2 linked regions of the Arabidopsis thaliana genome follow. The protein of the gene in region 2 interacts with the protein of the main gene of each other region in a pairwise test. Each region holds a gene or a part of one and is shown on either strand. Other genes may lie near its edges.

The links. The genes of interacting proteins can lie anywhere in the genome.
Region 1: the proteins of MSS3 (region 2) and AT4G16444 interact in a protein complementation assay, tested with the Arabidopsis thaliana proteins (one large-scale study listed by BioGRID).

Annotation. Positions count from the first base shown.
Region 1 is NC_003075.7:9,274,848-9,278,606, reverse strand, and holds the start of AT4G16444 (tail-anchored protein insertion receptor WRB-like protein), read left to right. Parts: upstream 1-2,159; 5' UTR 2,160-2,348; intron 2,349-2,508; 5' UTR 2,509-2,550; coding exon 2,551-2,661; intron 2,662-2,736; coding exon 2,737-2,816; intron 2,817-2,939; coding exon 2,940-3,010; intron 3,011-3,301; coding exon 3,302-3,372; intron 3,373-3,456; coding exon 3,457-3,538; intron 3,539-3,621; coding exon 3,622-3,671; intron 3,672-3,744; coding exon 3,745-3,759.
Region 2 is NC_003071.7:17,990,475-17,993,794, forward strand, and holds MSS3 (Calcium-binding EF-hand family protein), read right to left. Parts: upstream 1,574-3,320; 5' UTR 1,482-1,573; coding exon 834-1,481; 3' UTR 578-833; downstream 1-577. Other genes in the region: AT2G43280 (Far-red impaired responsive (FAR1) family protein), read left to right, coding at 1-67, 172-387. UniProt on the Arabidopsis thaliana protein: Potential calcium sensor.

The DNA of each region.
Region 1 (3,759 bases), on a different chromosome or scaffold from region 2:
GAAGAAGGCAAAAGTGACAATCTAAGGATTGTAAAAAGAGAATGTATAATGTGTGAGTGGAAATTTGCATATTTTTATTTTTATTTTTAAGAAGCAAAAGAAAAAAAGTTGGCCAAAGTAGAAAATGGTTGGGAGGAAAATGACAAGAAGAATGTTTGAAGGGAAGCACATGGATTGGTTTGTTTGGATGATTATTGAGATATATAAACCCTTTTTTCATGCCCCCCACTTACCTCCCTTTAAGGGCTCTTTTTATTTGAAATGGAAACTTTATTACATCCCGAGAATATAGGGTGTATATAAATATATATAAGGGATGGTCTTCTTAAACGTTTGATTTGATTGTATGCATAACAGAGTTGTAATTCAATGATAAATTTTCAATATGTTAAATACAAAAATCTTGCAAGGACATGCCTAACCATAATATATAAAAGAGTAATCTAATCAAAGATCATATTCGTATGTTGTTATATTCAAGAAAACTTGCATGAGGTTTTAAATATTCCTTGGAAAAAAAGTGAATATGAGAAAAGGGAGTGACAAAAGGGTTTAGGAGAGATTTTGGTGGCTTGGGAGATGGTGAATTGGAGCCACTTCTTTGTCTCTACGTCAAATCTTCTCAGTGGAATTTAAAGTTATATTATTGGCATTCAATTAAAAATGAAACACACATTAAAGAAGAGTGTCAAAAGTTGTTAATGGTTTCTATAAATTAGTTGATCCACTTTTAAGTTTTAACTTCTTATGATTTGGCAAGGAGGAAAAAGTATATAAAAAGTGGGCCTATCTATTGATAAAAAGACAAATGGAGTTCAATAGACTAGGGAATAATGATATCAACATATATGTATGAGATGTGTTTTGATTGATAAATAATTGTGAAAAAGACCACTCATTTTTACACAAGACATTCTCTCTCGATCTCCTCGTTTTCTCTCGATCAAAATGCTACTCTACGCTCCCTTCCCATAATGAAAACATCCATGCATGTACATTATCATATTTTTACTAATTTAGGGATCGAAAAGATTAATTTATAAAAAAGTAGAATACTATATACGTATCAATTAATATATGTGTTCAATGCAAAGCCGATGCAAACTTATATATTTCCTATCGTGATAATCTTATATAATAGATATTAGTTGTGTTTGATATATATAATAATTGCAGTACATATAATTCTTAACACCCATATAATGTAAAATTTTCTGATACAATTCTAAACCACATGTGTGCATTTTGAGTTTCACTTCATAGTCGGATTCTGCAAACTCCCCACATTAATTGGTCCACAAGGTACAAAACTTATCTCACATATATTCACCAATATATACAAATGTCAAATGCCTTTATAATGTATCACTCTTGATTGTTGATATTAGATAAGAATGTTGATATCATTACAAATGAAATGATATATTAGATTAAATTGGTAAATTTATTGTTACACCTCTAACAACGAAAAAAAGTGAGACAGTATAGCTACAAAACGGAGCGGGTTGAAAGAAAGAGGAAGTGGACAATGGGGATACAAAGTTTGAAAGGCACATCAAAAGTGGTGGGAGCAAAAGTTTGTCGTCAAGTAATTGGAATATAATGGCATGCATACACGAAAGCTGAAGATGCTACGACGTTTAGGATTTGGACTTACATTGTTTTTCTTCCTTTTTTCAGCTTCGGTATCTGCGATGTTATCGATAATGCTCTGATTTGGTGATAACCCCAATTAGATAGATGATTAACATAATTAAGTGGGATCGGATGAGACAAAACATATAGTGTCTTTAGATTAGTTGAGAAAGATTAGAGACAACGCGTGCCATTTCTGGTAAAACCATTACAACCACTCCACGTAAAAAGAATACATTATGTTTGTTAAATTTTCACATTTCTAATTTCTTACCCTCCATTTTGTAGTTTTACTACATCTCTACTATTTATATCTATTTTTATCCTATTCATTCTAAATTTGGATACTTTTACTGTTGACTGAAACTTGTAGCCTAGTTGTTGTTTCTTTTCACATGTACTCATGTATACCCAAGCTTAATGAAATTTTAAAGAAAATAAACAAGCGGTTTAGTTTTAATTTAATGGGCCGTTTCTTTATTTCAACGAAGCCCAATAGAGCCTGTTGAAAAAGGGTTTAGTTATTGTTGTTTACACATAAGGGCTTGAGTTTTATTTATTTCACGAAACGAGTAGAAACTTTTGTTTTATCAAAATCAGAACCCTCCTCTTTTACAGATTCAGGCCAATTCTAAATTCCCATCGTTCGTTCAATTTCAGACGTTAACCTCGGCTTGAAGGCTTCAAATTTCTGTGAATCCACGACGGAGATTGTAAGTTCCGATCATACTCACGACGATCTCATTCTATATGCACTAGAATCTTTTCCTCCTCCATTGATTAGATGATATGTTTATCCAGAACATGATGGATTCAATTAAGGCTTTTATTTTGTTGATCTGAATGGTACTGAGTTATGAATTGTTCGAGCAGATTGGTGAATTACGTTAGAATCAGTAATCAGCAAAAGGGTTAATGGAAGGAGAGAAGCTTATAGAAGATCGCGGCTTTTTGGCTGCTCCTCTGACCTTCGTCGTCGTCGTTGTCTTCCAATTGCTATCCAAGTGGCTTGACCAATTGAAGAAGGTAAAAAAGATAATACTTTTTGGCTTTTTTTCATATCCACATGAATCATCGTTTTGAATTATGGAATTTCTTCAGAAAGGGTCGAAGAACACGAGGGAATCAGAGCTGCGAACCGAAATTAAGCAGCTTTTGAGAGAGGCTAGTGCATTGTCTCAGTAAGCCATTTTGTTGTCACATTTTGTTTTGGTTCTAGTGATTTGAGTTAAGGAAGGTGCAGTTGTTGAAAAATATATATATGAGTGTTGTTGATTAGAGATTTATCTATTGTTTACTTGCAGGCCAGCCACATTTGCGCAAGCAGCGAAACTTAGGAGGTCAGCAGCTACTAAAGAGAAAGAACTTGCACAATGTGAGTATGCATACATTATTAGTTCTACATTGATTGCTTAGTGAGCGTAGAGTTCATGAAATTCAGAAATATGATTGATTGCTTAGTGAGTGTAGAGATCATGAAATTCAGAAATATGATTGATTGCTTTGTGAGTGTAGAGTTCATGAAATTCAGAAATATGATGCAACAGTTAGTTAGCTTTAAACATGAATACTATCTGGTAGCAGATATTCCTACTAAAGCACTGCATCATCATGGTGTAGTATTGGTGTGTGTGTGTATTTGTTAATTCTCATTTTGAAATTTTAGATCTGGAGCAGCATCACAAAGAAATCAAGCTTTCATACGATATGTATGGGAAGGGTCTGCTTGCTTCGAAGGTAGCTTAGTTTGTGTGCTCAAGCTTCTTCTTTTTTTCCGTCTAAAACTCCTTAATCGAGATGTGCTAAGAACTTTGTTTCTAGGTTGTGATATACCTAATCTTGGTATTGTGCTTCTGGAGGACTCCAATTGCCATTATCGCTAAGCAACTTGTTCAACCGTTTGGTGAGTAGTTTACTTTTACCAGGTTAAAGCTCGCTTATGGTATATAACACATAGGAAAAAAATGAATGTGGTGTGTTTCACAGGGACTTTGTTATCTTGGGGAACAGGAGGTCACATGACAGGCCATGTAATGGTAAGTTCCTTCTTCTCAATCCATTTATTTGGGCTTGTTCTTGATTGAGAGTGTTGGTTGGGTAAAAATGCAGGTCGGGATCATACCG
Region 2 (3,320 bases):
TACCAAATTCGTCAAAGAACATAACCATCCACTCGTTGTTTCACCTCGCGAGGCTCGCCATACCCTGGTGAGTACTTAACTTACTTAACTTATGTCCCTGTGCAGTGTAACATTACGTATTTTGAGCAACAAATGTATGAAACCATTTTGGTAAATTATATGTTGTTATAGGACGAGAAGGATAAGAGAATTCAAGAACTGACGATAGAGCTGCGAAACAAGAAGCGGTTATGTGCAGCGTACAAGGAACAGTTAGATGCTTTTGCAAAGATTGTTGAAGAGCATAGTAATCAGATAGCAAAGAAAGTTGAGAATGTAGTGAACAATTTGAAGGAGTTCGAACATCTAGAGCATGCGCTATTGCGAAGTAAACAAGATGCCATCTAAGCCAACTATTGATGTGTGCGGCTGTATATTCTTTGAATTGGTGAAGCTTTCCCGATCGTAAATGGTTTAAGTGTAATCTAGATGTGGTTTGAATCTTATTTTATGGAATGTAATGTGAGGAACTTTGTAACCATAGAGTAGAAGAGGACATGGATTTAACTCTTGCCTTTAGATTGATACGAATGTGGTTGGTTCTGCAATATACTATATTGATAGGAAACAGTTAACAATCTACTTAAGAACACTTAACAATCAGAATAGATGAGAAGGTGAATCTTACATAAGCTCAGAGATACCCTAAAAAACAAAGATTACACACCTTCCTCGATTACACGATGTTTTGATTTGTCATCAGAAAATTTATTTACAGAGGAAAAACAAGAAAAACAAACCAATCAATCGAATAAACACACTTCTCTTCTGTCAAATCAAACCCTAGTTAAAGATCAATTACTGCTGCTAAAGCCACCACCTTTCATCATCTGAAGAAACTCTTTGTAATTGACTCTACCATCACCATCTGCATCAACTTGCATAATCATCTTCTTACAACCATCTAGGGTCTTCCCTTGCTTGAGTCCCAAGGAAGCCATCACAGATTTCAACTCCTCCACAGTGATAAACCCATCTCCGTCTTGGTCAAACACGTTAAACGCATCTTTCATATCCTCTTCCTCTGTTTCGCCATCGTTGTGATGCTCATCCACAATCGAGCTGTACAGCGACTCAAACTCGTCTATGTCGACGCATCCATCACCGTTAGCATCGATCTTGTGGATCATTTGAGTCAGATCTTTGTCTGGTATGTAGATTCCAAGATTCTCAAGCGAGTCGTTGAGCTCTTCCTTTGTGATTCGACCGTCACCGTTCTTGTCGAACATCTGGAAAACGCGTTTGAGCTCGGACGGATCTATTCTTTTCGTCGGCGCTGAAGAAGATGATGGAGAAGGTAACATCGTTGACGGAGACGGTGGTGAGTTCTTGTGGAGAGTTTTGTCGAACCAAGAAAGAGGGAAAAGAGTTCGTAGCTTCTTTGGTACTAAAGAGAGAAGAAACGAATTTAGTATATTGTAGAGAAGGAATATTCTCACCATAACTGTTGAATCACAACTCTTATTTTATGAGAAGAAAAAAACAGAGAGAAGATCTGAGAAACAGAGAGCTTGAAACAGAGCTTTGTTGATACAGAGAAACTTGGAGATTGTTTGTCTTTATAGAGGAGAGAGAGAGAATTTATTATAATTATTAAATAGTATATTTTTCCGGAAATTATTTTTTCTTTTTCACGCCTATACAACCGTTGAATCTAATTTTTAATCCTTTACTTTTTGGAGAAAGTAAATTAAAATGGAACGTTACAAAGAAGAAAACAACGATTTTATAGAGAAACATGACTTTTCTAAAAATATTTGTAGTCTTCTTCTATTCAACAATAATCACATTTAAAAATTAGATTTTACACTGAGCAAAAATATATACACATATTTACATTTGAACACTATACTTATTTACATATTATGTTCTTAAATCTTATAAATGTACATCTCTAAATGAATAATCTTTATATGACGAATTAAGATCCAAAGGATCTCACCTAATACAAGTTAAACGTAGAAAAAGCCGTGATTTACAGAATCCATTTAAGTGTATGAACCATGATAAATGAAGGATAAATATGTACAACTAGATTTTAACCCGCGGTATACTGCGGGGACAACTTATTTTTTAAATTAGTATATATAAAAGTTTACAAATTAAATCTATTTATTTTTATTTTATAGTTTACAATTGTTATTAAGTGACGTCCTATCAAACCCGTCTCGCCAAATCCGTCCCGTAAAAAAAACCGCGGTACACCGCTAATTTAAATATATAATGAAAATAAATATTTTACGGGATTGCAATTGTATTTTGGTTTGTCAAACAAATATTTGTTTTAAATAGTTGTCAAAATCTAGTTCAAATTTTGGAGAAAAAAGATTTATTGGATAGATAAAGAATGTATTTAGGTGTGTTTTGTTCATTTTAAGGGATTGCAATTATATTTTTGTTTGTCAAACATTTTTTGTTTTAAATAGTTGCTGAATATATTTGGAATATTTTTAGTTTGTTAATTAATTTATTGATAGAAAAAAATCAATAATTAAAAGCTAATGGCAGCCATTGTAAATAAGTCTCAACTATAAGATTTATTTCACAAAATAACTGAAAAAATGTATATATCTATTGTAAATAAGTCTCAACTATAGGATTTATTTCACAAAATAACTGCAAAAATGTATATATAGATTTAATTTAAAATGAAAAAGAGATTGAATTAGTGTGGAAAAAAAGACAATCGTAGTCTTTAAATAACAAAAAAGTAAAGAAATTGCAGAAAACGCGTGAAGAAGGTAGAGGTGTGTGTAGTTAAACATATACATCGCTTTTCTGATAAATTAAAAATGAAGTAATGTCAAAAACGCGTTGTTATAATTGTTGATGTTTTGTTCCTGTCCCCATTTGTTTGGTTATCTTTAGTTCTTTACTTTGCCGGTCTTCTTCGTATTTCAAACTTCTTATAATCAATTCATTTTATCTTATCCGTAAAAGGTAAAACACAAGTCCTAAAAAACCTATCAATTGCCTTTTGTTCAACAGATCTTCTTTTCCGATAACTCATAGTCAATGGATCAAAGTGTTACAAACACACCACGTTAAACATTTGAGCCAGAGTTCAGGGCTCCAAACAAAGCAACATACTTGTTTTTTTATCCGAGATTTTTTTTAATCTAATTGCAGTGTTTTATTTCGACTAATAGAATTGCCGTAATCTTTCTAGAATCAGTAAACAAAAAGTGTTGTTAATGATAACGTAACGGGTCTAAGAAAGAATTAAAGGAAGTTATTGGGGACCAAAAAACGCGCCAAGAATGACGCCCGTTGGATTATGA